3 linked regions of the Callithrix jacchus genome follow. The protein of the gene in region 2 interacts with the protein of the main gene of each other region in a pairwise test. Links are inferred from orthologs where the notes say so. Each region holds a gene or a part of one and is shown on either strand. Other genes may lie near its edges.

Evidence for each region.
Region 1: the proteins of PPP3CA (region 2) and C20H16orf74 interact in binary tests that used the Homo sapiens proteins (3 or more experiments, as listed by UniProt). The two-hybrid records come from large-scale screens. The link is inferred for Callithrix jacchus from reciprocal best matches to the Homo sapiens genes PPP3CA and C16orf74.
Region 3: the proteins of PPP3CA (region 2) and AKAP5 interact in binary tests that used the Homo sapiens proteins (3 or more experiments, as listed by UniProt). The link is inferred for Callithrix jacchus from reciprocal best matches to the Homo sapiens genes PPP3CA and AKAP5.

The regions. Positions count from the first base shown.
Region 1 is NC_133521.1:43,375,860-43,386,331, reverse strand, and holds the end of C20H16orf74 (uncharacterized protein C16orf74 homolog), read left to right. Parts: intron 1-2,826; coding exon 2,827-2,970; intron 2,971-5,584; coding exon 5,585-5,643; 3' UTR 5,644-6,118; downstream 6,119-10,472.
Region 2 is NC_133504.1:96,028,796-96,039,371, forward strand, and holds the start of PPP3CA (protein phosphatase 3 catalytic subunit alpha), read left to right. Parts: upstream 1-4,817; 5' UTR 4,818-5,551; coding exon 5,552-5,609; intron 5,610-10,576. UniProt on the Homo sapiens protein: Calcium-dependent, calmodulin-stimulated protein phosphatase which plays an essential role in the transduction of intracellular Ca(2+)-mediated signals. Many of the substrates contain a PxIxIT motif and/or a LxVP motif.
Region 3 is NC_133509.1:99,112,268-99,122,520, reverse strand, and holds the start of AKAP5 (A-kinase anchor protein 5), read right to left. Parts: upstream 5,597-10,253; 5' UTR 5,484-5,596; intron 2,965-5,483; 5' UTR 2,704-2,964; coding exon 1,423-2,703; 3' UTR 1-1,422. Other genes in the region: MTHFD1 (C-1-tetrahydrofolate synthase, cytoplasmic), read right to left, coding at 10,016-10,192. UniProt on the Homo sapiens protein: Multivalent scaffold protein that anchors the cAMP-dependent protein kinase/PKA to cytoskeletal and/or organelle-associated proteins, targeting the signal carried by cAMP to specific intracellular effectors.

The sequences.
Region 1 (10,472 bases), on a different chromosome or scaffold from region 2:
CCCCGGCAAACAAAGACTCTCCTATCAAGCAGGATATTCCAAGGGCTGAGAGAGCACCTCCCAGAAACTGCGGACAGAAATCAACCTCTTTTTAGGCAAGGTTAAATTCTTTTTCTTTTTTTCTCTTTTTTGAGATGGAGTTTCGCTCTCGTTGCCCAGGCTGGAGTGCAGTGGCGCGATCTCGGCTCACTGCAACCTCTGTCTCCTGGGTTCAAGTGATTCTCCTGCCTCAGCCCACTGAGTAGCTGGGACTACAGCCACCTGCCACCATGCCCAGCTAATTTTTTGTATTTTTATTAGAGATAGGGTTTCACCATCTTGGCCAGGCTGGTCTTGAACTCCTGATTTCAGGGGATCCATCTGCCTCGGCCTCCCAAAGTGCTGGGCCAGATTCTTTACTATGCACAGGGTCCAGAGAGGAGATGCAGTGCACCCAGGGTCACACAGCTGGTGGCCTGATTCCAAAGTCAGTGTGTGTGCTGCCTTCAGTTTTTCTGAGCCTACAGCTTTCATCAAGGGGCAAGTGAACCAAGAGTTTGGCCTGAATGGCATGGCTTCAGGTCCCCTAGGTGCACATGCTTTCTGTGGATTCAAACAGACTGTCCCGGACAGCCCAGAGGTAACCTGCCCCTCAGAGGAACACCCCTTTGGTGAACAAAGGTTGCCCTGAGAAGCCCCCTGTGATTTCACATACCACAGCCAGGTATGCGATCCCCACTGTGCACCTGCCATCCCTTCCTCCCGAGGTCAGGGAAAGATTTGCTGACTCTGTCGGTAATCTATCATTGCTTAACAAACTATGCCAAAACGTTGAGGCTTCAACATCAAGCTTTTATTATCTCAGAGTTTCTGTGGGTCAGGAATTGAGGAGTGGCTTAGCTGCCTGGTTCTGGCTCAGGGTCAATCAGCCAGGGCTATAGTCTCATCTGGTGGCTGGACTGGGGCTGGAGGCTCATCTGGTGGCTGGACTGGGGCTGGAGGCTCATCTGATGGCTGGACTGGGGCTGGAGGCTCTGCTGCTGAGGTGCCTCCCTCATGGCTGTTGGCTCAAGGTCTTAATTCCTCACCCGCATGGGCTTCTCCATAGGCCACTTGAGCATCCTCATAACATGGCGGCTGGCTTCCCCAAGAGCAAGCAGTCTAAGAGAGAGCAAGAAGGAAGTTGCCATGTCTTTCATGACCTCACCTTGGAAGTCTCGCACCATCATGTCTGTCCTATTTTGTTTGTTGGAAGCAAGTCACTAAGTCCATCTTACACTCCACCTCGTAGGGCCGTAGTTTAGAACCTCCACACTGACCCTACGATGGTCACTTAGGAACATTGCCCTGATGGTGGTCACGGGAGGCCTGAGAACATTAGGAAAAATAGGTCCCCCCAACCCCTTATACTCAGCGCCTCCTGTTGGTCAGGGGCTCTGGTGCTTGAGCTAATTTAATCCTAGCCTGGCACTGTTTGGGGCAATCCCCAGAGTGACGGGTGTAGAGACAAAGACTGATGGTTTTGGTTGCATTTAAATGTTATTTTATTTTTTTTTTTTTTTTTGAGATGGAGTCTCACTCTGTCGCCAGGCTGGAGTGCACTAGTGTGATCTCGGCTCACTACAACCTCCGCCTCCCAGATTCAAGCAATTCTCCTGCCTCAGCCTCCCGAGTAGCTGGGACTACAGGCATCCACCACCATGCCCGGCTAATTTTTGGATTTTTAGTAGAGATGGTGTTTCACCACTTTGGCCAAGATGTTCTCAATCTCTTGACCCCGTGATCCACCCACCTTGGCCTCCCAAAGTGCTGGGATTACAGGTGTGAGCCACCTCAACACCCCCCCCCCCCGACTTTTTTAAAAAATTAAGACAGAGTCTTACTCTGTCACCTAGGCTGGAGTGCAGTGGAACAATCTCAGCTCACTGCAACCTCCACCTCCCGGGTTCAAGTGATTCTCTTCCTGCTTCAGCCTACCGAGTAGCTGGGATTACAGGTGTGCACCACCACACCAGGCTAATTTTTGTCTTTTTAGTAGAGGCAAGTCTTCACCATGTTGGTGAGGCTGGTCCCCTACTCCTGACCTCAGGCGATATACCCACCTCGGCCTCCCAAAGTGCTGGGATTACAGGTGTGAGCCACCACTCCCGGCCAGCATTTAGAATGTAAAGCACTCCTACTTACTCTGTCATGAGCATGTCCTAGGCTCAAGGGAAACACAGGTGAATGAAGTAGTGACTGTCCTCCTGGTGTTCACAGCAAAGAGCGACAGAAACGAAAAAAAAAAAAATCATTGATGAATGAGTGAGTGCAGATGGGCAAAAGCGGGAGCCGCAGGTCTGCTGGGGTGCCTTTCCCAGGGAAGAGCCTGGCGCACTGGGCTTTGAAGGATAAGGAGGAGCTTGTTACTCTGGCAGAGAAAGAAAGAGCGTCCCAGGCCAGGGGAACAGCATATGCAAAGGCATGAAGGGGCCCAGGGAGCCGGGGAGTCTGGGGAAGTATGAGTGCTTTGGAGTATAGGGGCTGATGGCTGCAGGTGAAGCTGGAACTAGCTGGGCCACATGGTGAAGGACGAAAACTGGACCCAGAGGCTGACTGGCCTGTGAGCCGCATTTCCCAAAATCTGTTTCCCGACTCATGGTTCTGTGAGATGTGACAGGGGCTCAGTTAGCATTCCTGAGACTCGGGTTTTCATCTGTGGGGCGGGGACAGCGGCGCCCTTTGCTGTGAGGCGTCAGGACTCAAGTGACGGTGAATGGGGGGGCGGCCCACGGTTCCTGGCGGCCACTGATCCTGTCTCTCTGTCATGTGTGTACGTGCGTGTGTGCTCCACGCCTGGCTTCTCAGGCTTTAAAATGTGTGTCAGCAGCAGCAGCAGCAGCCACGACGAGGCCCCCGTCCTGAACGACAAGAACCTGGACGTGCCCGACATTATCATCACGCCCCCCACCCCCACAGGCATGATGCTGCCGAGGGACTCAGAGAACTCAGGTGAGGCCGCCCCCTGCGCCAGCAAGCCGGGTCGGATCTGGGGGCCCAGCAGAGACCGCTCTCAGGGGCATGCTTCTGGGCACGGGACTGAGCTTGCATCCTCGCCTCCCCCGGGTTCATTAACCATTTAGTGTCAGACTTGTGTACACTGCAATGTGAGCCCCCCGCCAAGGCGCCAGCCTCAGCGCAATGTGGCGTGTTAAGTAATTAGTAGACAGCCCCTGCCAGCCAATTGATGGATGGAGCCAGGCTGGCCCGCCACGCCAGGGCTCCCGCCAGCCAAGGTAACTGATGGATGCTCCTTCCCCTGCCAGCGGGAGGACCACTGCTCCATCTTGTTGGCCGCTGCCGTGTGGCTGGACAGGACAGACTTGGAAACACAGCCCACGCCCATGCCAAGGCTGGGGCTGGACCCTGGGCCTTCCAGATGCAGCTCACTGCCGGGAACGGGGAGGAAGTGGAGTTCTTCCCAGTGAGAGGGTGCGGGGGTGGGAGACAGAGCCCCAAATCGCGCTCCCACCTGCCCCTCTGGAGCTGGTGGAATGACTCGTTCACGTGTTCAGCGAGCAGAGATTTATTGAGCTGGGCCTACGCCAGGTACTGAGGCTGCTGCTGTGAATAATAATAACAATAATGGTGATACCAGGTCGTGATAGGTAGCACCGTACTGAGTGTAATGAATGGATTTCCTTTTGTCTTGTTTTGTTTGAGACGGAGGCTCACTCTGTCACCCAGGCTGGAGTGCAGTGGCGAGATCTTGGCTCACTGCAACTTCCAACCTCCAACTCCCGGGTTCAAGCGTTTCTCCTGCCTCAGCCTCCCCAGTAGCTAAGATTACAGGCATGGGCCACCATGCCCAGCTAAGTGTTTTGTATTTTCAGTAGAGACGGGTTTCTTCATGTCGGTCAGGCTGGTCTTGAACTCCCGACCTCAGGTGATTCACCTGCCTCGGCCTCCCAAAGTGCTGGGATTATAGGCATGAGCCACTGTAACTGCGCTATTTTTATTTATTTTTTGAGATGGAGTTTGGCTCTGTTGCCCAGGCTGAAGTGCAGTGGCGTCGTCTTGGCTCACTGCAACTTCTGCCTCCTGTGTTCAGGTGATTCTCCTGCCTCAGCCTCCTGAGTAGCTGGGATTACAGGCAGCCACCACTATGCCTGGCCAATTTTTGTATTTTAGTAGAAAGGGGTTTCACCATGTTGGCTGGGCTGGTCTCAAACTCCTGACCTGAGGTGATCCACCCACCTGGGCTTCGCAAAGTGCTAGGATTACAGGAGTGAGCCGCTGCGCCCAGCCACACCCCCATTTTAGAAATGGGTAAACTAAGGCTCAGAGAGGTTGAGACACTTGCCATGCTGCTGGTTGGTGGTGCAGCAGGGATAGAACCCCAGGCTATGTGATCTGAGCTTCGTCCCACGGCCCCCAGGCCGGACGCTCTCCCTGCGGGTGGCACCAGTCAGCTGATAGCCATCATGACATGGGTCCTCCTGGACCCGTGCAGGGCACACAGCACCCATGAGGCTTGTGTAGGGTTTGTGGAAGGCTGTCTGGGAGGGGGACTCCATAGACCCTTCCACATGTCCTGAGTTTGGGTCTCCCCTTGCTCAGTAGAGCAAGTGACTGGGAGAAAGCTGTCAGGCCCCCTGGGCTGGGCCAGCGCAGGTGTTATGGTGGTTGCAATAGGGGCACATTCCTCTGTGACCTTTCCGAGTGCATGGCACTGGCTAAATGCTTTTCATAAATCTCATGTAATTCTCATTCCAACTGTGAGGTGGTGAAGACCACCCTTATCTCTAGTTTAGAAATGGGGAAACAAGCCAGGCTCCATGATTCACGCCTATAATCCCAGTACTTTGGGAGGTCGAGACGGGCAGATCACCTGAGATCGGGAGTTCAAGAGCAGCCTAACCAACATGGAGAAACTCTGTCTCTACTAAAAATACAGAAAATTAGCAGGTATGCCAGGGGGCGCCTGTAATCCCAGCTACTCTGGAGGCTGAGGCAGGAGAATCGCTTGAACCCACGACGTGGAGGCTGCAGTGAGCCAAGATCGTGCCATCAAACTCTAGCCTGGGCAACAAGAGTGAAAACCCATCTCAAAAAAAGGAAAAGGAAAAGAAATGGGGAAACAAACAGGTCCAGAGAGGGACAGTGCCTCACACAGGGGCACACAGCAAGGTGGGAGAAGAGCTGGGCTCCGGCACCACAGTGGTGCCTAATCAGAGAGCCAAGTGTGGGCAGACAGAGGCCCAGTCCTTAGCTCGGCTCTCACAGTCCCTTCCCTCTCTGAGCCTGTGCCCTCACCTATAAAGTGGGATCATACCATCTTCCCTGCTCCCAGGACCAGTGTGGGCACAGCGGAGACACAGGGTTACTCTCCAAGGTCCAAGCCCCAGGGAGGTTCCTGAACCCTGGGACAGGTTTCTCTTAAATTTAAGCATCTCCAGGGTCTGATTCACCCAGATGGATCCACCATCACTGGGTCCCATCTCAGCCTCTGGCAGCACCAGAAAACAAGGACACCCAGAGACCCCTGCCCTGCAGCTCCCAGGGAGGCGGGCCTGGGTGTGGTGGGGGCAGGGTGCATCCAGGTGTCCATCCCTCTTTCTCCTAGTCTGGCTGGATGAGACAGGGTCATGCCCAGATGACGAAGAAATGGACCCGGAAGCCTGAGGCGGTGTCATCCAATGATCTGGTGGACTCTCACTCCAGCGTCCTGGCTTCAGGTGTCCGGGGGCGTGGCTGCCTGGGGAAGGTGGGCCGAGCACCATGGATGGGAACAGCAAATCCGGGCTGCCGCTCAGAAGGACGTGGCAGGACCAGCAAGGAATCCGGCCTGCCTGCTTCTACAACAGGGTTTCCCAGGCCCCGCTGAGTGGACGCACCCCTGACGCCTCCAGGTTCTTGCCGACTCTAGCCTGGTAAGAGAGAGCGCCATGGTCCTGGCTGTCGGGGTCCCAGGGAAAGGCCTTTTTCTGGACAAACACACCCTCCCAGTCCCCTGGGCCGGGCAAACATGGGTCTCTGCCATCAACACAAACAAGAACGTCTTGCAGGCGTAAAAGTGTTCTTTTACAGATATGGAAACAGTCCAAAATGGGATTTATAATTTCTTTTTTGCATATAAATAAAGATCCTCTGTAACAAATGGTCAATCCTTTTCTCTTTTTTCTTTTTTTTTTTGACGTGGAGTCTCCCTCTTGTCTCCCAGGCTGCAGTGCAGTGGCATGAACTTGGCTCATCACAATGTCCACCTCCCGGGTTCAAGTTATTATTTTGCCTCAGCCCCCTCAGTAGCTGGAATTACAGGCAGGAGCCACCACACCCAGCTAATTGTTGCATTTTTAGTAGAGGTGGGGTTTCCTCATGTTGGCCAGGCTAGTCTCGAACTCCTGACCTCAGGTGATCCGCCCACCTGAGCCTCCCAAAGTGCTGGGATTACAGGCATGAGCCACCGCACCTGGCCTCAAACAGTGACTCCTGCTTCTTGGGTCAGGAGGCGGCGGTGGATGGAGCACACGAGGCACAGCGTGGGTGTAAGAGAGACACTTAACACGGAGGAGCGGGTCTGGTGTGCAGGCCGTTGTGGAGGTCTTGAGCCCCTTCTTTTTCAGCCTGTGTGGAGGCTTCAGCATGGCCCAGGCCTGGGCTCTGAGGTCACATGGACCTCGTTTGAGTCCCAGCTGTAGGATCCTGGTGATAACACACCTGTAGGGTGAGAGGCAATATTGTGTTGGTTTTTCTAACAACCTCACATCGGTGCCAGGTGTGGTGGCTCACTCTTATAATCCCAGCACTTTGGAGGCTGAGGCAGAAGGAGCTTGAGACCAGGAGTTTAAGACAAGCCTGGGCAACATAATGAGACCTTGTCTCAATCAGTCTCAAACACTAAATGGTCAGTGTTCCCAGCTTCCCACAGAGCACTCTGACATTGGTGTGCATATGTGTGTAGTGTGTGTGTGCATGAGTGGGTCTGTGCAGGTGTGTGCATATGTGACATGCATACATGTGTGCATGTACGCATGTATGTGCATGCATGCGTATGTATCGTGCATGTGTGTTTGCACATGTAATGTGTACATGTATGATGTGTGTATATGGGTGCAGTTGTGTATATGTGGGTGAATGTGCATCTGTGTATGTAGGTGTGTGTGTATGTGTGTATGTGTGATGTGTGTATGCATCTGTGTATGTGGTATCTGTGTGTACATCTGTGTGCATGTGTGATTGTGTGTGTCTGTGTCCATGAGTGTAGGTGTGTGCATGCGAGTGTGTGTGGTGTTTGTGTGCAAGTGTGTGATGTGTGTATGCATCTGTGTATGTGTGTGTACGTGTGTGCATGTGTGATGTGTATGTGTATCCATGTGTGTGTGCAGGTATGTGTGGCTGTGTGTGTGTGTATGGCGTGTATTCATTTTCTGTGGCGTCTCCTGAGTTTGGTTTTTCTTGTGTCTCAGGGTCCCCAGAGCAAGGCCTGAGCTGAGGCTTTGGGCGTAAGGGGGAGATTTGGAGGCGGTCCCAGGACACCCATGGGAGTTGGGAAAGGCAGTTCAGGGGTCCCCAAGACCACCCCCAGGTCTAATCATCCACCAGAAGAACTGAGAAAAGCCATGTGCATCTTGTTGATGGCTTATGATGGCAAGCAGATACAGATTAAAATCAGCAGAGGGCAGGAGACCCCAGGACAGGACAGGCGCAGGCTCCCAGCCATCCTCTGACCGCTGAGTTGTGGAGAGTGGGCAAGTGCTAACTTTTGACCACGATGTGGGACCACACGCACAGAGCATCACCAACCAGAGACACCTCGAACCTCAGTGTCCAGAGGCTTCATCGGGGCTCGGCCACATCGATGTGGCAGACACCGCATGGCTGACCTTAGTCTCCAGCTTCTCCAAAGGTCAGCTGACAGCATGTAGCCCCAGGCCCCACCATAAATCCCATGCTGAGCCTAGGCCACCCTGTGTAGCCCACGACCTCGGCAAACAAAGACACTCTCATCAGGCAGGACTCTCTGAAGGCTACAAGTGATGGGGGAAAGGCCAGGCCTGTCTCTGGACATGGCTGATCTTTTGTTGTGCAAGAGGCCAGGCAGGGTGGGAAGGAGCTCGTAAGGTGCCATGGAGGCCTCTGGGGAGGCAGTGTGGATCCCTTCAGTGAGCGGGCCCCTGAGGGGTGAGATGTGGGGTGTGTATCCTCCCACTCCCACTCATCACTGGCCAAGAGCAGCTTCCAGAGTCACCCAGCATTCCCGGCCTGTCCACCCACGGACAGCAGTGCTCACAGAGGATGTGTGTGCACGCACCGGGCTCTGAGTCCTGGGGATATGGCGGGCCCCGTGGCTAGGGCCCACTCTCTGGATACGTCCTGCACGCGGCCACAGGGCCAGTCTCAAAAGCCCACGCTGTGTTCAACACTCTGTTGTCGCTCCTTGAAATTCTCAATCAGGGTCCAGCATGGTGGCTCGTGCCTGTAATTCCAGGGCTTTGGGAGGCCAGGGTGGGTGGATCACTTGAGCCCATGAGTTCAAGAGCAGCCTGGGCAACATAGAGTCCCATCTCTTCTAATTTTTTTCTGAGACAGAATCTCACTCTGTCACCAGGCTGGTGTGCAATTGTGTTGTCTTGGCTCACTGCAGCATCTGCCTACTGGGTTCAAGTGATTCTCCTGCCTCAGCCTCTCGAGTAGCTGAGATGATAGGCATGTGCCTCTACACATGGCTAATTTCTGTTTTTTGATGTGGTGATGGCATTACAGCCACCTGGGGGCCTCTGCCTACCGTCCCCCTCAGCCCATCCTCCTTACAGGTTCACACCTGTTGGAGGAACCGGTCCACATCCTGGGAAATGGGGAATCTTTTTAGCTGCCTGGCAGTGGCATCTAAGCTGCTAAGCCACCAGCCCATCCTGCCTCAGTGTTTTTGTTTGTTTGTTTTTGTTTTTGAGATGGAGTCTCACTCTGTCATCCAGGCTGGAGTGCAGTGGCACAATCTCCGCTGACTGCAGCCTCCGCCTCCTGGGTTCAAGCGATCCTCCTGCCTCAGCCTCCAAGTAGCTGGGTTACAGGCACCCCCCTCCCCACCACGCCCAACTAATTTTTGCATTTTTCGTAGAGAAAGCGTTTCACCATGTTGGCCAGGCTGGTTTGAACTCCTGATCTCAAGCAGTCTGCCCACCTCGGCCTCCCAAAATGCCGGTGTGAGCTACTGCACTGCCTCCAGCTTTTAAACTTCGGTATTAAGGTATTACCTGGACAATTAAGTCTACTCCAAAGTCAGTGTGCAGCAAAGTCAGGTGCACGTGTGTGTCCACCATGAAAGCACCTCCCTGATCGAGAGAGGACGTCGCTGTGACCCTGGCCACAGGCTTCCCTGGGCCCTTGGAGAGGTCGTTGCTGTCCCCATCCCTGGCCATGGTTCCTCTGTCCTGTTCTTGCCCTTCATGTACATGGAATCTTCCTACGGTGGACCGCCTTTGCTGAGTAACTGTTGTTCCTGCGGGCTACAGAAATGCCTTAGGCTGGGTAATTTATAGACAGTAAAATGTATGGCTCACAGTCTTGGAGGGAAGAAGTCCAGGAGCAAGGTGTCAGCAGATTTGGAGTCAAGTGAGGGCCTGTTTTCTGCCTCAGAAGAGGGTGCCTTTGTACCACGTCCCTGCCCGGTGGAGCGGGCGAGGCAGCTCACTTTACACCGCACCCTCCTGACTTAATGGCTCCTCTCGGGGCCTCAACTCTTAATTCTGTCTCACTGGGGTTGGGTACTGTAACTCACACCTGTAGACCCAGCACTTTGGGAGGTGGAAGCAGGAGGCTCACTTGAGCTCCGGAGGGGGTCGAGACCAGCCTGGGCAACATGACGAAACCCCGTCCCTACCAAAAATATAAAAAATTAGCCAGGTGTGGTGGCACGAACCTGTAATCCCAGCTACTGAGGAGGCTAGGGCAGGAGAATCACTTGAACCCAAGAGACGGAGATTACAGTGAATCGAAATCATGTCACTGCACTCCAGTGAGTGGGCGTCAGAGTGAGACAAGAGAGAGAGAGAGAGAGACCAGAGAGGCGAGAGAGAGAGCACTGAGACGTGTATGTCATCTGGGGCTAGAAGATCCACTTCCAAGATGGCACATCCACATGGTGAGGCACCTACCAGGTGGCTGCCGACTTGGGTCTGGGCTCTTGTTTTTCTCCACAGAACTTCTCCCTGGGCAGCTTGGGCTTCCGCACAGCATGGCAGCTGACGTCCAAGTAACAGCATCTCCGGACAACCAGGTAGAAGCTGTATGGCCTGTGAGACCCAGTCTCTGCAGCCACATGACATCACATCTGCAGTAGTCATGGGCACCCTGATTACAAGGGAGGGAACATGGGCGCCACCTCCTGAGGGGAATAGTGTCAAAGGCATAAGTATAAACAGGTTGAGTGAGGTGGCGTCTGCCTATAATCCCGGTGCTTTGGGAAGCCCAGGGAGGAGGTTCACTTGAGGCCAGGAGTTTGAGACCAGCCT
Region 2 (10,576 bases):
AACAAAATTTGTTGAGCACCTACTCTGTGCCCAAAACTGGGATTTGAGATGATGATACAAATATATTAATAAATAAAATAAATATGAATATTTATTAAATACAAATGAATAATGATGGCAGATAGTCTTGCCAAATTTTATGTAAAATATCTCTCTCTGTATTACACTTGGCATAAAACTCCATAAATTATAGTTTAATCCTGATGGGAAAAAATTAAATTTATTCCTGAGTTCCTTTGGTATAAAAATGTTTAATGCTCCTTGAAAAATAACGTTTCTAAATGAGTAAAACTGCCTTCCAAAAGAAACAAGGCTCAACAAAATTTCAAGAGTAATCCAAAAAATAAGCAATAAAACTTTCTTTTGGTTTGAACCTCAAATAAGATCTATGTAGAATAGCAAATTTCATAGGACCTCTATTGAAGTAGGGTAGAACTAGACAATGTGAGAAGGAAATGTCACAGGAATTAGCTTTAAGATAATAACCCAAAATCTCATATACATTCATGGCCCTATCATGGTTGACTGTCTACTTGCAGGTTCCTCAGCATTGTGTTCCATGAATCAAGTAAGGATAGGTCAGACATACTGCTGTCTACCATCAGCTACTCAGAAGAAAGTGCATGCCTCAGAAAAGTCATAATCAGAAGCTATCCCTCAACTGTAATGTCCAAAGGGTAACAAATTTATCCAAGAACCAAAGGAAAGTTCAAGCTTTTGAAACCAGGTTATTTCCAAAACAGAATATAACATACAATATGTTATTTTAATTTTAAAAATAAAGCAACTGAAAGAGCACTTAATAGTAAACTAAAATGTACTTAATTTACTATGATTTGTACCAATGGAAGTAAGCTGTGTGGCGCACTTAAATGCATAGATGACTCCAAATCTACAATATTTTCTTTTTTGCCCCACATATTTATCTTCATGATTAGTTTTGATAAAGCTAGTAGTTATTCTCCAATAGAAAGAGGAAGTAACACTTGACACTTAAATGTTTGCATAGATAGATAATATGTATCTAGTGATCATATAACAAGACATTTAAATCCTTGAATGAAAGAACGAAATCTCTGAATCCTTCCTTACTCCCTTTTATGGATCATGTAGCATAGGGCCTTGCAAAGAACAGGTGTTCAAAACACAAGTGGTCAATGAATATTCACTTACAGATAATTAAGACTCCATGCTCATGTACTAAAAGAAATAAGTATTTTTAGTTTTTTGGTAGTTCTCTTATATTAGAGTAAAACAATAATTCTAGGTTTTGCTAAGCATTGTACTTTTTGAACTACCATAATAAATTACTTTTGTATATTAATTTGTTAATATTAGCTATTCTAACACATTTTAATGGAGTAACACAATACATGTGTAAAGCCCAATGCATATTTTCTTAATAAGTGGGCAGCATTCCTCTGCGTGGTAATTAAGGGACTCTCTTTATCTCTGGGGTTCGGCCTGTCCTGGGTCTTAGAAGTTTCTGCATTCAGCTAAAGGATGGGAGCCCATCGACTAGAAAATGTATATCTGCTGCTTAACTGTCTCAGCCTGAGAGAGACCAACCACCTCAGCCCACAGTCCACCGATCAGAACTACCTACTTAGAGGAAAGCAGTGTCAGGCTAGAAATGGAATCCCTTACTGGCAGATAATTCACAGGGGGAATCATACTAAGGAAGGAAAAATACAATTTTCTGATAGACAAAAAGTTGTCTTTTTTTCAAGTTTTTGCCCCCTGTGATTTCTTGATAAGCAGGACATTGTCAAAGTCAGCATCTGGGAACTGAAGCAACCCCTTCAAAATGTAAATTCCAAATATAAGTATTCTCATGCAAGTGGTAATATAATTATGGACTGCTAGGGCAGTCTAACATGGGGGTTCCCAAACCCTGGGCCACAGACTGATATCAGTCTGTGATCTGTTAGGAACTGGGCCGTACAGCAAGAGGTGTGCAGCAGAGTGAGCAAACATTACTGCCTGAGCTCTACCTCCTGTCAGATCAGCGGTGGCATTAGATTCTCACAGGAGTGCAAACCTTTGTGTGAACTGTGCATGCAAGGGATCTAGGTTGCCCGCTCCTTATGAGAATCTAATGCCTGATGATCTGAGGTGAAACAGTTTTATCCTGAAACCACCCCCAACCCCCACCCATGGAAAAATTGTCTTCCACAAAACCAGTCCCTTGTGCCAAAAAGGTTAGGGACCTCTGGATAGGACAGAAAAAGAGTGGCAGTAGGAAAGCATAGGACATCTGAAACAATATCTGAATCAAAAAGATGATCTGGCTGTCTACTTCAGAAAGCCAGGTGTATGAACACAAGTAGTCTGTAGTTAATATGCTGCTGTCCTATTTTCCTTAAAGCAGGATCTAATTTTGTTTAAGAAGTGTCAGTGTTGCAGCAGTTATGGAATCATACACAGGCATTAAAAGTTCCTGTTGATAATGTGTTGGGAAGTGATTATGAGTCATAACTACTTTTTCCCCACACATACCTTAGCTAGGAGGTGTCCTAGACTTATAGCGGACTAAAGGGTGTGCCTGAAAGGTGTGCCTTTATTTCCTATCTATCATAAAATTTTCTATGGTGCTTACATTTTAAGCCTTCTGATCTTGGTTCAAAGATGTTTATCTTATACCTGGTAGAAAGTCCAAGTAACAGTGGGAACTTCATTTTCTTTCTAATATGTGAGAGAGAGTGTCTTGGCCTTGGAAATGAGCATCTCTGGACATGGTTTCCTGGTCTTTTCTGAAACAGGTCCTCTTCACCCACAGGTCTTGGCATCGCTCCCTCACTGTGTGCCATCTGGCCAGGGACCAACTTCCCAAATCTGCCTTAGCAACCAGCTCTGCTCGTGTTCAGGAGGCTGTTTTCAACAACCCCTTCCTGAGATTACAGTGATGTCTCAGAGCTCATAATTTTATGTTCTCTGAAAATTCTAGGCTTTATTGAGGGCAAGGACCATTTTCAAATATATTCTCCCCCCACCAAATTACCCACCACAGTGTCTGGCATATAGCAAGTACAGAAAATGTATTTATTGAATGAATTGTCTAATTGCCACCCAGTATCCTGGGGTTGGAAATGGGGCAGGAGAATCTCAGTGCCAGTGGCAGCCCCCCTGGGCTGGTGGGCCACACCCTGCATCTGCTCCCTTTGCTAGGCATCCACAGAAGTATCTAGTGTGTGTTTCTTTTCCGTGCAGTCCACATCAAAGTCATGCTGCAGCACCATCAGTCTCTTACTAAAACTTAATTTTCAAGTTTGAGCTTTAATCTAATCCTTGTCTCCAAAACACTTCTCCTGGCTCCATCTCCCAGCTCCCTAAACTTGTTTATCTTTTCTTTGTGTGTGTGGTGTGTCTGTTGGGGGGGGGGTACCTTAAATCATTTATTGGACCCGTGGTCCAATTGAGGAAACAGAAAAACCCTGATACTGAAGGACTTTGGAAATATAATAGGAAGGATGAAGGGTAATACATTTTTTCAGATTTCCTCATAATTGCCCCAAAAAGCTCCAACCATGTTGCCAGTCCTCGGGTGTTGCGGTTGTTCAGGGAGAGGGGCTGTGTGGAGGTGACCTTCTGGTAGAGGGAGACCGGCTTTTTCAGACTCTGTGGCTCAGCAGGCGGGCCAGGAAGAAGCATTTGGACCACTATCATTCTCAGCCCTGGCGCGCCTGACATTCTCTCCTTCACTTTCCTTCCGACCGGAGGGACCAGTGTGGGGATTCGCTTTGGGCTCCAAGGCTCTGCCCGCACCGGCAGCACCAAGCAGGTGTCGAATGATTGGAAGGAGCAGGGAAGGAAGATGGGTGTCACCTGTCCCGGCCAGAGGCTGCGTACGTGTGTGTGAATGGGGAAAAGGTCACCCTCTTCCTTGCTTCTCCTCGGTTCTCCTTGGAGACCCGCAGGGCTGCCGCAAGGAACTCCGAGTTGCCCGGGGTCGCCGGGGCTCGGTCCCATCCTCTTCCGCCAGCCCGCTCCCGCGTTCCACAGCGCCCTGGAACTGTGGTGCACGCCTGGGTGGGACACAGTAGCAGCCGCCACACCGCCAACGCAAAAGCCCCACTTTCGCTTGGCAAAAGCAAAAACAACCGTACACCCCATCGCAGTCGCAGCTCTTCTCCGAAAGGTAAGTTGTTTATCCGTCGCCGTTTCGGCGATACTCCCTGGACAGCTGCGACAGCGACAGCAGCTGCGCCGCGGGCGCCGAGCTCCCAGCCTCTTCCTTCCTCCTCCCTCTCAGGGCTGCCTCACACCCCCACCCCCTTCTCTCTTATCCCCGCCTTCTCTCTCCTTGCCCTCTCGTGGGCCACGCACACACCAGGAGACACCCTCCGCACTTGGCTACTCACACTGCGGCTTAACCTAGCCGACAAGGCACGCTTGCCAAACAGGCGCGGGGGTGTGTGCGGGGTCCGAGTTCGGAGGCCACAGAGGGGTGGCGTGGTACAGCCCATCTCCTCTGGGCCGCGACCCCTTGCCCACTCTCCTTCCCTAATCTCGGCCTGCCAGCAACAGTGACACCTGAGCAGGGACTGGGCGGTGGAGGCGGCAGGCCCGCTGGTCCGGCAGCCAGGAGAAAACAGAGCGAGGGGCGGGGACAACCAGGAGGAGCGGGAGGCGGGACGAGCGGGGAGGCCGCCACCTGGCACTGAGTGATGCACAACCGAGCCAATCAGCGCGCGGGACTCCAACGTCGGGGCGGGAGGTCGGGGGCGGGCTCCGTGGGGAGGAGGAGGTGGCCGGCGCGCGAGAGGCGGGGGCCGGGCGGAGGAAGGGGAGGAGGCGGAGGCGGGCGCGGTGGCGGCGGCGGCGGAGGCGGCCGAGAGGAGTAGGTTGTGCCCGGGACTGTGTCTGCCGAGCTCCGCTGCTGTGCCCGTGTGAGTGGAGAAGCGGCGCGGGGAGGCGGAGGCGAGCGCGGGCGATCGCGACGGCGGGACGTCTCTGGCGGCCGCGGCACCAGCGGCGGCGCTCGGTGTGGAGAAGCAGCGGCAGCGGCAGCAGCAGGAGCTTCAGCGGCAGCAGCGGCGGCCGCCTCTCCGCCGCCGGGGACGCCAAGGTGCGGCTGGTGGCACTGACACCGGCGGCCCTGCCTCTCCTCCCTCGCCCCCGGCCCTCCCCATGTGATCGGTCTTAATCCCGGCCGTGTGTGCGCGCGTGGGGCTCCATTCCGCGGTGCCGGGTCTCCGTGCCGTGGTGGGTGCTCCTGTGTGCGCTTCTCCTCCCCATCCCCCTTCCCCCAAGAATAAAAGAAGAACCGGGAGGCGTGCTCAGAAAATAAATAAATAATCACCACACACGCGCAGCCCGGAGCGAGTCGGCGGGGCTGGCGGCAGCGGCGGAGGAGGAGTGAAGGCGGCGGCGGCGGAGGAGGGACGCGCGGAGAAGGCAGCAACTTTAAAGCCAGCTCAGAGCCTAGACCTCCAGCCGAGCGGTTTGCAGCGCGGCGGCGGCGGCGGTGTTGAGTGTCTGGCCCGCCGGTCCGGTCGGGGTGTGCAGTCGGAGGGACGAGCAGCGCGTCGCTGTCCTCCGGCGGCTGGAGATGTCCGAGCCCAAGGCAATTGATCCCAAGTTGTCGACGACGGACAGGGTGGTGAAAGGTAAGCGGAGCGCCGCGGTGGCCCGGGTGCACCGTGTGCCGCAGGCGCCAGGGCAGCTAGCCTCGCCTCCCCTCCCCCGCCCCGGGTTCTCCTCTGCCCTCTCCAGCCGCAGACCTTCTAGGATATTGTGCAACCCGCGAACCCCCCGCCCCCGCGGCGCCCTTCCCCCACGCGTCCCACCCGTCCTCACTTGGGGCATTTTTATTGACGGGGGCGTCAGTTGGCAAATGGCTGAGCGGCGGGGAGGCGGCGGCGGGGGTGGCGGTGGCGGGAGGGGGCGCCCGGGGGGTGGTTGCTGGCAGGGTGTAGCTGCTGTGACAGAAATAGGAAGTGGGTGGCTGCTCTCAGGCTTGCATGGGATCGGGTTTATGGTTTTCTTCTGCAGAGGGACGGGTGATTTATGGCTTTTAAAAAATTAATATGGCATTTTTATGTGGCCGTGGCTTTCCACCGACTGCCTCGCTCGGGCAGGGTTCTGTGGGCGCTCCATTGCAGCAATTCCCTCCGCGCCCCTTCCCCCTCCCCCTGGAAGGGCCTGCACAGGACTCGCGAGAGAGCGGGAGAGCGTGGGGGGAGCCAGGCGCTTCCTTCCGCGCGGGGCGCGGGGCGGGGGAGGGGGCGGCCGCTGGCTGGAGGGTGGCCGCGGGGGGCGCGGGAGGTGGGTAAGGACCCGAGAGCACCAGCCGTCGCCGCCCAGGGATTTCCCTCGCACGCCCCTGGAGAGACACGAAAACCACTTCTCAAGCCTTCCTCGCTATCCCCGGCTGTCCCCCGCCGACCTGTCATTGCTTCTGAAGGGTTCTCCACTCGTGCACACCTCCCAAGTGATAACCTCATTCCACCTGCTTCCTCCGTGCCCTGGCATCCCTTTTGTAACGGGCTGTTTGATTCCTATTGTTATCGCCCCCTCTTCCCTGCCTCCGGGGTGATATACTCCTGGCGGGAATGGCACTGGGGTTGCTGGCAAAGAGAAACTGGGATTTGCGGAGTTAGGAAGGGGACAGGCTGGGGTTCTCTTTATCGCAGGGTAATCCACCGGCCTCCTTGTATTCCTAGGTGTAGTGAGGGAGGAACCATCCTTAGAATCCTGGAAGGATGAAGCAACAGAGCAGATCCACCTTGATTAAGTAGTATCTCTCATTCCTGGGGTCAGGACAAGCTAAGCAGAGATGGGCATGAGCTGTGAGCTAAGCGGGCCTCTGAAATTGGAAACAGCACTGGCTGGTGTAATGTGTATGTGTGTTGTGTGTAGAACAGAGATGGTATCTAATGTGGCCAGAGCATGCAATTAGGGTGCAATGCAATCAAGTCGTTTGCACCATGAGCACTTAAGTGAAGTGACCCAGCAGCCCAGAGACCATGATACACAAGTCCCTCTGGGATTTCCGAAATGATCCTTTCTCCTTACAGGCTTATTCAGTTTTGAAAGTAATTTTTCTGTGTGAGTGGTGGTGGTGATGGGGGAAATTGTTTTCCCTTTTTTCAGAAAGAACAAAATATCTTCTTTTATTTTGGTTATACTGGAATCATTCCTGCTTCAGTTTCAGTGCTTCAGATTCGTATACCCAGAACATAATGAGGAAATAGCTCTGCAAAAATGATTCGAAATAGGGCTGCAGAGAGATGCACAACTATTTTATTTTTTCTGCCGGCATGGATTTTCATGGAAAGAGACCTGTGTTTTGCATTAAAGGCTTCTGTTGACATTTTCAAAAATTGAGACTCTCTGCTGAAATATCAGAGAATGACAATTATCTCCTTAATGTGTGAAGTTTAGACGTAACTCCAATCTAGGTTAAGATCAAAACAATGTAAAGCTTACTATTCAAATGATACCAGTGGATGTGTTGGCAATTAAAAAAAACAGTCCTGCACAGGTAAGGTCACAGTCCCTGTTTTAAATCACAGGATGTGGATTCTTAATGTGAATGTAAAGTCATCAGGTGAACATGTAAAAATAAATGTTTATACTCTCTGGCTTAGTGTCTTTATCATTTAAAATGGAAGAGCCCACTCAACCATTCCAAAGTTTTTTTGCCTTGCTTTTTTTCAATGCTGTATCATTATAAATGACTTTTCATTTTAGGTACACACACCCACTCATAATTTCAAAAATTCTATTTACATACTTTTGCAGAACTGAAATACAAGTGTGGATAATAGACTCAAAATAGGAAAAGTTAATTTTGCATTTGTTTTGATAGAGATCCTGATGTCAGATGTGAAATGTGAAATTTTGTTTATAGAGGTTTTGTTGATGAATCCTGATTTTAAGGTGGATGCACAGTTGCTGTTTATCCTATGTTTTCTTGTAGACTTTATATTATCAGCATGAAAGGCATTATCCAAGGTTGGATTCAACATTTTGTCATAAATAACATTTTTATGATTAGTTATTGAAATAATCTATTTTGATTATTAGACTTCTGTGAAATAATATTTCCCCTTGAATATGTATACTACTCAATGAATGGAAAGTATGTGTATGCTGGATGTGAAACATTAACAAATGATTTTTTTATATTTGCAAAAATTAGATAATATGGAGTTAAGAGACCATGATTTTACTTGAAATTTTGTTAGAACTCCATCTCAATGGCCATTTAACTCATTCTTTAATACAGAAAAGAAATTATCTTTAAGGAATTATTTGTGCCCCTTAAGTTTTCTCTTTTTTACAAAGTATATGTAGTATTATTTTCTATACATAATACAGAAATAATTATTCAGACCGTTATTACCATGGCGCGCCATGATATTTACTTACAGTTTTCTTTGTTAGTGTCATCTGGCTTTTGTTGTATAACAAATTGCTCTTTGCAAATAAAGATGTGCTTGTGGTTTGTAGTAACATGATGTGACTGTTTTCCTAATTGTGCTTTTAGAATGCAGCTTCAGAGAGGTAGGTTGAGTTTGTTTCAACTATGTTATTTTTGAGGTTTATAGAATCTGCTAGTATGTATTCAGAGACCCTGATCAGTTTTCTAAACTTTAAAAATGAAAGAGAATGATGGCAGTGGAGACGAAAGGTATTCATTTAGATTACCCCAGGAGAAAAAGTTACTTCAATTAGCAAAACTAGTGCTGTTTCATTTTGACTGCTCTTGGATTAAAATAATGGAAAGTAGAAAAATTCAGAGAAAACATCTCGGTAATGACATTTGCTGGAAATCAAAATAATTTGATCCATTTATTGTTCTACATTATATTTTTAAAGAGACATACAGCAAACTGAGGGCAATAAATAGAAGAACTATCTTCTTCTCCCCAACCCCATCCTGATTTTTCTCTTAGTTGTATTCTACAGGCTTTGTTCCAAACTTTGGCTTTTCTCTATTTCTCTCTATTCCTGCCCGGAATGCATTGTCTGGCCCTAGCATTCCCTATTGGTCACAGAACTTTGCTACATGATAGTTAAAAATACTTAGATGAAATTAAACCCTGTGTGATAATGAGTGTTTGGCTTTGTTACATCTCTTAACCTTCCTTCCCTCTCTTCCCATCTCCAAGTATTTTGTGATGGGACTTTTACCTTAACTCAAACTGATTGTAATGGTAGATATTTTAGAAACTATGGCAGGCTGCTGAGGGATAAATTTCTGGGTAGAGTTTTGTGGAATCTCTCAGAAACTAAGTGCTTTGTGTAAGGTTGCTTTTGGCGCTACAAAATGAGCTGTTTTCCAGGTGTATTAGCTTATGTACTTTGTGTAGATAGAGTACTCATAGGAGAATTCTGAAAAGATACTAGGGTCATAGAAGCAAGATGATGCTAGTTAAGTTAAATGTTAGTAAATAGGGATTCCAGCCACTAGTATTTCTAGCTGGGTGAGACTGGTAATACTACTTAAAAAGAAAACAAATATGCTACATTGGTAGTAACTGTAGACCATGATGCAGAGGAGTGGTAAATAATGTCATTTATTTGTGGTGTTCTAAGAAGAACTTGTGAATTTATTTTATTGACATTTTCTTACCATCAGTTGATTTTCGAATATCTGGTTTTCAATTTGAGTATAGTGAAACCTTATTAATTCAATATCACAAATTTAAATTTATTGTGAATATCATCAGTGTTTGTTGTCTGAAGTTTACATCACCACTGGATGTGAAAAAAAGGGTACCAGTAATCTAAAAGTATAAACAACATAGTTTCAGCATGGTTAATATACTAAGAGAACAAATTATTTTCAATACTTAGTGAACAATATGCAAATTCATGCTGTTCATTACAAGTTAGGTTGGTCTATTTATTAATGTTTCCTTTTGGGACTATTACAAAATGACCATAACACAAGTGCATTGTTGTAAAAACATTCAGTAAATTTAAGGATTAGTGCAACAATTGAGACTAGAATTCAGGGGCATTCCAGCGATTCTAAAATACCATCAATTAGAATAATCAACATTTTGAAGATAATGGTTTTTTTTTGGGAAATAACCCTTATTTTAATTTAAGACATCTAGTAAAAATGGGAAAAATTAACATCTAGAATCTAATTATTGAGGTTTACTCTAAGATTTGTTTGTTTAAAATTATGCCTTTTAAAGTCTATTTGTTTCTTTATGATTTGTTTTATTTGTAATTTTAGATGAAATATGACTTTGATATACTATTCGTTTATAACTTTTGTAGTTGATCCCTTATGCTTTTTTTTATCTTTTTTTTTGTGTCAGCTATGTGTAAATTTGAAACTAATTATGACATCAAATAAAGAATCCATTTAGAGTGACCTCATTGGAAAACAACATTTTTGCAGAGATACTCTCCTTTAAGCAAATATGGTTAAATTACCATTTTGAAAATTTAATGAAAATATGTCATCTATTTCTAGAACTATAAAGAATGGTGGTGATTCATGAAATAGAATTTTGATAATTACTAAAAAATCATTTTGTCAATTTTTTTCAGCAACTTTCTGATGTACCAGTCTCTTGATATACAAGAGGGATATGGTGAGACCTTGAAC
Region 3 (10,253 bases), on a different chromosome or scaffold from region 2:
TTTTTACTAGTCTCTCTCAACACATAGACACAAAGGAAAACTGACATTTAAATTATGTGCTTCAGCAATAACTTTTCACTTTCTATTCAACCATATTCATGGCTCATTTTTGGCCAAGAATAAATAATATTTGCCCTAGATTATTAGGATTTTCCAGGACCATTACTACCAAGCTGGCTTTGAATTTGCTCTCCCCTCTTTGGAGAGAGGTTGATGAATATGGCTCTTAAAGAAGTTAATTCTGCAAGATGAATCCTATATTATCTGTGACAACTTACTAGGGAATTTTTCCTTCTCCTGGATGAAGAATAATATTCCCCTTTTGTTTTTGCTGTTTCATTTTTAAATTTTTCACAGATAAATCCATGCAGAAATGGACATATACAGATCTGTTGAGGCAGAAAGAAGAGAGGTAAAAACCCACTCCCTGTTTCTACCCTTCTGTACATAGTAACAATTTGCCTGATTGAAGGATTTGTGAATGGCTTTTTTTTTTTTTTAATTGAGACAGTTTCCCTCTTGTCACCCAGGCTGGAGTACAATAGCACGAATTTGGCTCACTGCAACCTCCACCTCCCAGGTTCAAGCGATTCTCCTGCCTCAGCCTCCCAAGTAGCTGGGATTACAGGCGTCCACCACCACGTCCAGCTTATTTTTATATTTTTAGTAGAGACAGGGTTTCACCACTTTGGCCAGGCTGGTCTTGAACTCCCGATCTCAAGTGATCCACCCGCCTCAGCCTCCCAAAGTGCTGGGATTACAGGCATGAGCCACTGCGTCTGGCCAAATGGCTCTTTCTTATAAAGGACTTAAGCAAGACTAGAAAACCACTCATATTTAATTTCAATATGCATATTCTGCACAGTATCTGCTGAAATTGGGAAAATGCAATATATTTTTCGAGTTAAGCCTAATGTTTAGGAATGTAACAATTACAAATCACATTCACAAAAGTAGCTCACCTTATTCACCATTTTAAACAACATGTATGTCCACTATAAAAAATGTTTTTAAAAACTCATTGTGATGTTAGCCTATACACAGAGCTGAATTATCAAAAGGAAACCAGACTTTGTTATATCAGAGGTCATTAAAGAGCTTATGGCATACCATAAGTGCTCAATAAATACATTTTCCTCCCCCAAAGCACTCCAGTCTCCGTATGCCGTTTTAGCAACTCCCTGTATGTTGTGTTACTTTACACAGTGCGATCCGTGCTGACTTCCTCCAATCCAGAAATGACTGCATTTCAGTGGTAGAGTTTTATAAACTTCACCATCTTTAGCACTTCTGCACTGTAATTGTACCTTTAAGTTCCAGAGATGATAAATCTCTCATTCGTTACTGAGTAAGAAATGCCACAAATGTATAAAATAATTCTTCATTAAGCTTGGTTTTTCTCCCATGACTCTGGAGAGTAAGTCACTGTAGAAGATTGTTTATTTTATCATCAGAGGCCATTTCATTAACCAGCTGTTCTATTGACAACTGAATCGCATTCTTGACAAGAGAAGAGGCTGTTTCAATTAAGAGTGTTTCATATTGTTCTGAAGTTCTATCCTCAAAACCATTATCATTAGCAAAAACCCCTACTTGCTCACTTTCCGTTGAAATTAAGAATTGCTTAGGGACATTTTTAGATTTCTTAACATCAAATTCACTGATTTCAGTGTCTGTAATAATAATAGCAATTGGCTCCATTCTTTTGCTTTCTTCTGATTTGGATTTCTCTTCAGTGATCCCATTTTCTTTAAAATCTGGTTCTTGGCTCAATTCAGTATCTTTTGGCTTAGTTTCTTCAGCTACAGTTTCTCCACTTTCATAGTCTTTCCCATTTGGTGCACTTTCTAGGATATTGTTACTGGCTTCTTCCACAATTTGTTGATCTGGGATTGCAGGTAAAGGAGTAACATCAGAAAGTACTGGTTGCTCATGGTCTGTTTCTGAAGTTTCAAGTGGGCTTGCTTGCTGGGGTTGAACATCTTGTTTTTCCTTGATTGTTTCAATTTCTTCAAGGATTAGAGTTCCCATTTGAATAGCAGAATGCCCATTATCTAATCCAAGTTCTACGGAAATCACTTTCTCTCCAGAAGTTATGCTATTGCTCACATTTGATTCACAGACCTCATCACCATCTTTCCGTGAGATGCCTTCACTTAGATCCTGGGTTGACGTAGCCTTTGTTGCCTGATCGCTTGATGGGGTCTGTGTTTGTATATCCAAATTTTCAGCCTCTCCCTGGACTTTGATGCTGCAGACTGAGTCTTCTATAATTTTGGAATGATTCCTCCTTTTTGGCCCTCTTTGGAATTTTATGCAGGGAATCTTAAGTCTAGATTTTGCCTTTTTCTTAGAAAGACCAGCATCCTCAGCATTTATTTCAGGTTGCACTTCAGCCTCCAATTGCTTTTGCTGCTTTGAAGACTCCAACCTTTTCCTTCGTGTTACAAGATGTTTGAGTGAGGCCCAGGCCCCCCGTGGGGGCTCTGGCTGATCAGAAGCTCCTGCTTCTTGGGGACACTTCTTTGTTACATCAGCAGCTTCAGAGCCAGCTTTGGGCTTCAATGCTTTAGCTGCTTTCTTTCTTCTCTTGAAGCAAAGCATGGATGTTTTTTCCTCCTGTCTTTCAGCCTGAGGACTACCTTCTGCTGATCTCTTCTCATCCTTGTTTTCTACATGAATTTCTGAAACTGTGGTTGCCATTTTCACACTGTACTCTTATTCTCTAGAGAACTATATTCTCTCTTCCTTAGCCTTTTGTGACAAAAAGATGGGCAAAAATGTCACACTAGGTAAAATTTCTTCCAGGTGTATTCATTCCTTTCATTTTACTCCATGCAGTTGTTTTAGGTGGTTTCTCTAGTATAGAAATGCCTACTTTCTCTATTGCTTGCAATTTCTCTCCTTAAATTTCTTCATGGAAGCCCTTTACTGGATAAATTTTTGCTTTATTTAAAGATCAACCTGGTGAGAGAAAAGAAAGTGATATTTTATTTCACTATGAGGCTTTTCACTATTATTTTCTATGGAGACTTTTTCAGTTGAATGTATAAGATTCTACCAGACATATTTTCCATGTATTTACTAATGAAATGGCTGGAGAATAAAGACTGGGGTTTATTTTGGCCCTATTAAAGAGTTCAATGTAATTCTATTTTGTTTTATCCTCTTTGTTGAAACTTCATTTTGGATTACTCTGCAAGTCTGATATTATCAGTTCTTTAGTTGTGCTGTCTGTATGAATTGCTTATGATTCTAAAGTGCAAGTTAAGCAATCAACAACAAGAACCAAAAATGAAGTACAGGATAAAAAGCAAGCTAATGTAATTTTTATCACACTCAATAAATAACTTAAAACTGCAAAGGACTTTAGAGATTATTTGAGATTACTCAAATCCAGCCAAATGACAAAACTGAGCTCCAAAAGGGAGCAACTGTCTTGTCAAAAGCCATGCGGATAGACAAAGTCATAGCCAGAGTTACAAGTAGAGACTTTGACACTCTAGTTTTTCCATTATAACATAAGGTTTCTGTTCTAAAAATGTATGTTCCATCAAGGAAGTGCTACTTTTCATACATACTCTTAGAAAAATTTAGCATTACTGTCATTCTACACTCTTAAATTAGTTGTATAATTTTGACATTTTGATTTAAGTACTATATCTGCTGTATCATGTTTCCACCATAATATGCACATAGTTGGAGGTCAGTAATAATAGCTGACATTTATTGAGCAATTCTTGGGTATTAGGCAGTGCACACACTTTACATACATTTCTATTCCTCACCACAATATTACCAAGGTGGTACAGATGAAGCAGTTTGGCTGAGATTAAGGCATCGCTGTAACAGAGCTCAGATTAAACACAAGATTACTTGTTGCTTAAAGCTTATGTTCTGAAACTGGGCTTTAAGAGTTTCATTAGAAAATGAATCCTTTGGGGATACTAATCTGCAGTATATTCATAGTAAAGAAATTTAAAAACTGATTAATGGTCATTTAACCACAAGGTACCCATTAATCAACTCATAACTGAACCAAGACCAGACTGAGTTCTTGTTATTTGAAAACCAAGCTTTTGAAATTCTTTATATTTTATTTTTTTGGTTCAGGAAATAATTTAAAAGCCAAAAATAAGTTGACAAACTATGCAATTGGCAAACTGTTAGATAATATAAAAGTGTATTGAAAATTTAATCCACAGAATGGTATGATAGCACTAAAGAATGGAAATGGGAGGTGATTATCTAACAAAGATCCTATGAATTTTAGTGGGTGGACGCCCTAAAATAAGCAAAGGGACTCATTCTTTATACTGTTTACATGTAAATCCTTCACTGAAGTTTCATTTGGGTAACCCATAATTTTATGAGCTGTAGAAGGAACTGGAACCCTGAAAATCAGTTTATGATAAGTAAATATTCCCTTAGGTTGGGTGTTTCATACTTGATGCCTCTACGAGAAAGATAAAGTCATTCTAGAACAATGATAGAACTAAAATATGAACCATTTGACAGTGTTTCTCCTCACATTTATATGCTGCAGTGAGCACTAGAACCTCAGCTGATAACTTTAAATCTTCTCACCTCTTGTGAGTTTTCAGCACCTGAGCATTTTTGTTAAGCAGAGGATGTATTATCACATAATAGAAATATTGAAATGAGATGTTTAGGAGTGTATCATTTAGAAACTAACCTGGATTGTGCAAAGCCAATGGTTTGAGAAGCTTACTTAAATGTATATACACTCTAGAAATAAAATGAATACCCAAACAGAAATTTAATTGAAAGGGGGAAAATAATTCTGTCTGTAGATATTAAAACTTTGCAGAATGTCAGACTGCAAATGATTTCCCTTTAACCAGCAAGGGTATCTTTATCGCCTCAGGAAATCTTAAAGTCCCTGTGCTCATTTCCTGACAGAATTGCAAGTCTCCTGTCACAGAAAACACCCTTTTTCCCTTTCTCCCTTGAGCAGCAAAGAGCAACCACTACCCGAGGAAAGCAATGTATCCTTCCCAGCACCAGATATGGACCACGAAGCTTCCTCCTGGAGGAAGGAATCTCGAATTCTGGCTTGATGCCCCTTATGGCAGGAGACAGCGCGCAGGATAAAGTACTCAAAAAGGAAAATGCTGGGGGCGTGGAACAGATAACCCAGCTTCAAGCTGTCTGTAGAATTATAATGTAATGGCTATAAACCCAAAATCACATTTCCCCAAAGGGATAAAGAAGGAAAAAAGCCACCGGCAACCCTTGCTTCTAAGACCAGCTGTAACGCGAAGGAGATAGGTGGGCAGACCTGATGAGGGTCGCCCTGTCCGCGGATTCCTGCAGACAAGCCACCTCCCGCGATCCCAGCACCTCAGGGTGCCCGGATCCCCAGTGTCCAATGGACACCCCCTGCTCACTCTGCGATCCGCAGACCTGACACTGCCCCCGGCCCTCCTCCCCCGCAGCCTCCCCGCCCTGCCTTCACTCACCGAGGGCGCAGGGGTCCTTGGTCAACACTGCTCCTGAGGTCGCGGCGCGCTCGCGGGGCCCGGCACCCAGGCCTCCAGGGAGCCGCGGTCGCGCACGGAGCAAGGCGCCCTCTGCGGAACCCGCCGCCTAGTGCGCCCCCTCCCCACCGCGCGGGGACAGACAGCCCGCAGCACCAATGCGAGCGGAGCGAGCGGGCAGGGGCGGGGCGTCCGCGGGAGGTGGGGGGCGGTGCGGGCGCCCGGACCCACCTGCAGCAGCAGCCTGCCTGCCGCGGGGAAGTCCACCATGCTCCGCCCGGACGCCAATCCCTGCCGCCTGACCACCTCAGCGCCGAGGCGAGGACGGCGAGAGAGCCAGCCGGAAGGTTGGGGGACCGCGGGGACCAGGGCAACGAACCCCGCGTTTTCTGAGACGCAAAGTAGTGAGGTCGGGTTTCAAATTATAGACGGTCCCATTACACTTCCCCTCTCCTCCGCCTCAGAAAATTTAGACAAGGCAGACATCCCATTTTAAAAGAGGGATTCAAAACTGCATAGAATAGGTGTCCTGTTTGTCTGAAGCGAAAATTACATATATGAATGGAAACGGAAAGAAACCCGACTTTCTGAGGAGTGGCTTGAGTGTTAAGGAGTTCATCGTGGTTCATCACCAAACAGGCTCTCAGACCTTTGTTTCCCAATAGTACGCAGGTGGAGGTGATTCGCGCAGAACTTTGACCTGCAGGAGCAGCTGCATCTCTATGCAGACAAGGTGAGAAAGGCACAAGAACCCAGCTCCATCCATCTTATACTTTACATAGTAACAAAAATAAGTTGAGGTAGCTTACAAGTTACCCATGATTCCCTTTAGGACATTCCTAGCTGCCTACTTGACATCGCCACTGTCAGTGAAGTGGGGTGGTGGGGTGGGGAGGCGGGTGGAGAACAGGAGAGGACATTGCTCACAATTCCAGTCTCAGTCACAGCAAAGGGTGCAGGCACCATCTGCCCACCTGATTGACTAGGTTACGTATCTTCATGCATTTTCGGAGCTTGCCATAGTGAAAAATACCACAAGTATTTATTTGTACACATAAAGCATTAACATGTACTTTATGAAAGGTGATGCTGTTAGAGTTGAAGCTGACTTGCTTTTGGGTTAGTACTCCCTATGAGAGTATTCCTGGGCGATCCAGCCATAAAGTCTAGTAGAATCCCTCACAATCCCAGCTTCCTCGTCTGTCCCCCACAGCATAGCATCCAGATGAACCTAGTAAGGTGGAGTGAAGAACTACTGAAAAGCAGCTGTGCTCATCTCCTTTCTTCAACAGGATCAAGATATTAGGGCATATAAATGTCAGGTGTCCATTTTTGGATGTTTTTCTGGAAATGTTTTATATTTGTAAGATTCTGTAGTTTCCACAGAGGCTTACCAAGGATAGAACTATTGGAACACAAAAGCAAAGGCAAATATAAGCTGTCAAGATCTTAAATTTACAGGTAAAAGAGACAAGAGTTGTAAAGCAGGAAAATCCATAAGCATCAAGTTTAGTTGTAATTAAGAATTCAGGGCTGGGTGCAGTGGCTGACTTTGTGAGGCCAAGGCAGGAGGATGGCTTGAGTCCTAGAGTTTGAGACCAGCCTGGGCAACATAGGGAGATAAAAAAAATTTAAAAATTAGCTAGGCGTGCGTGGTGGCACACCTGTAGTCCTGGTTACTCAGGATGAGATGGGGATCACTTGGGCCCAGGAGGTCAAGGCTGCTGTGAGCTGCTAATGTGCCACTGCACACCAGCCTGAGCAACCAAGTGAGACCCTGTCTCAAAACAAAACAAAACTCAGTCAACCTTGTTCATTCAGCAAACATGTCTATGAAAATGTTCTTCATGTCTCTCTATGGGTTGCTAGCCCTGCTTCTTGCCAGTTTTGAACTTTAAGCCAAAAGAATTCCATGATACTCATGAGAACTATTCCTTATTGAGATCCAAGGTTTCTGAAAACTAGCAGACCTGGGAGTTGCAACAATTTCAGACCAAAAAATAAGATGAGCTTATTTAGGTGCAGACAGGGTAGAATAGCTGTCTTATTTTTATTTGGGACAGGATCTTGCTCTGTTGCCCAGGCTGGAGTGCAAGTGGCACAATCCCTGGCTCAGTCCTCCACAGGCATGTGACTTCATGCCCAGATGCTGCTGCTGCTTTTTTTTTTTTTTTTGGTAGAGACAGGGTCTCCTTATGTTGCCCAGGCTGGTCTTGAACTCCTGGGCTCAAGTGATCTTCCTGCCTCAGACTCCCAAGGTGGTGGGATTACAGGTATAAGCCACCATGCCCAGCCCCTACCAGTATTAAGGATTTAAACCCACAAGGCTTTTGGCAATATAAGAAAACCTAAGTCCTTTAAGATGACCTTTAAGTCACCATATCTGACAAGACTGCATCCTTGCCTTGTCTATAAAATGAATTCCCAGCAAATCCCATTCCAGATAACTTTCACAGGACATTTAAGAAATGTACCAGAAGCAGCCGGGCACAGCAGCTCATGCCTGTAATCCCAGCACTTTGGGAGGCCAAGGTGGGAGGATCACTTGAGGCCAGGGGTTGAAGACCAGCCTGGCCAACACGGTGAAACCCTGTCTCTACTAAAAATACAAAAAATTAGCCAGGCATGGTGGCACGCACCTGTAACCCCAGCTACTCAGGAGGCTGAGGTGGGAGAATTGCTTGAACCCAGAAGGCAGAGGTTGCAGTGAGTGGAGATCACGCCCCAGCCTGGGCAATAGAGCATGACTCTCTCTCAAAAAAAATAAGAAAAGGGAAAAAAAAGTACAGAAGCAATTAACTCTGTGCAAACAGGGCCTGGATGATGCTTTTCAAGAGGAACTGACATTGAGTGGTTACAATGTACCAGGGTCTGTACAGAGCATCTTAGATGATGTGTTTGAATAATTCTAGAACCGCCCTCACAAGGTAGGTACCAACAGTGCTCCTATTTCCATGGTGAGGATGTGGAGGCAGGGAAGTGGGTGAGTAGTTCTACCCTGTGCGGTAGAACTGGGACTCTGCATCATGACCCCTCAGCCATACACCTCTCAAGGCACCACTATCATTTCTGTGGACTGTAAAACTGACTGTATTACAACACTGATGTGAACCCAGAGAATTGAAAATAATAAAACCAAGGTCACTGGGAAAACTACTGCTCTGCCAACATCAGCAGGATTTGGCATTGGCACCAGAGGGATGCAGCATCCTCTGGAAAGTCATTGGAGGAAGATAAGGGGAAAAAGGGAAGGAAACAACTGGGAGAGGAAGAACAGAGATAGAGGATGCAGAGCAAGAGGTGAAGGAAAAATATTTTACTTTTTATTTAACAGAGTCTAGCTCTGTCTCCCAGGCTGGAGTGCAGCAGCATGATCCTGGCTCACTGCAGCCTCTGCCTCCTGGGTTCAAGGAATTCTTGTGCCTCAGCCTCCCAAGTAGTTGGGATTCTAGGTGCCCACCACCACACCCGGCTAATTTTTGTCTTTTTGGTAGAGATAGCGTTTTGTCATTTTGGCCAGACCTCAAGTGATTCACCCACCATTCCCTCCCAAAGTGCTGGGATTTCAGGCATGAGCCACCCCATGCCCAGCCAGAAGTGGAGGAAAAAAATATTAGGTTGGTTACCAAACTAATGTTTTAGAAAAAAGGAAGTCTGGGCCAAGCACAGTGGCTCACGACTGTAATCCCAGCACTTTGGGAAGCTGAGGCAGATGGATCACTTGAGGTCAGGAGTTCGAGACAAGCCTGGCCAACATGGTGAAACCCCATCTTTACTAAAAATCCAAAATTAGCTGGATGTGGTGGCGCATGCCTGTAATCCCAGCTACTTGGGAGGCTGAAGCAGGAGAATCACTTGAACCCAGAAGACAGAAGTTGCAGTGAGCCGAGATCGTGCCACTGCACTCCAGCCTGAGCGACAGAGGCTCTGTCGCCAAAAAAGAAGAAAAGAAAAGAAAGTAAGTCTGTAGAGAAGGGTAGAGCCCAGGCATTTAGAAGAAACTCACTGAATACTTGCTGCGCCAAGTAACAGAACAGAGGCTTACCTAAAGTTAGTGCTGTATGACCACCCTTCCTAAAGTAACATAGAAAGTGCTAAAGCTGTGACAGAAATGGGAATTCCAAGGAAGTTCAGGCAAAAATTGGTGTAAGCAGTACTTCCTCAGAGTGGAAAAACAAAATCAAACAATATAGAAATGTATAAGATAAAAAGGTAAGTCATCAACTTCCAATCCAAACCTCTCAGGAGGTTCCTTAATTATGTGTCCTCTCAGAAATACACAAGCATGCATACGTTTTCCCCTCTAAATACAAGAGTATCATAAAGTGCACACTGCAACTTGCATCTTCAGCCCCAGGGGTCTGCCTGACAAATGAGCTCACACATGACAGAGACCTGTAGCACAGTCTGTTAAGGCTGTAATTCATATTGCAACACCAAGATGGCAAAATTATTTCCTTTTATTCTGTGGAACTTCACTAACGTAAAGAGGCATGTGCATGATTTATGTTAATTTACACATTATGACAATTAAGGCTGAAAAGGACTTCCAGGGAAACGCCTACTATTAACTTCGGATCTTCTGGGCAGGGGCTGACTTCTCTTGGCTTCCTTATACTTCCTAACTCCCAGTGGCCCTGAATAGACACTGGCCAGTCTTTCAAAGTAGCTTCTTGAAGATGAATGATGATCTGGAAGGAAAAACAAACAAGAAATCAATGTTTTCTCTAAGCACTAAATGTTTCCTGTTCC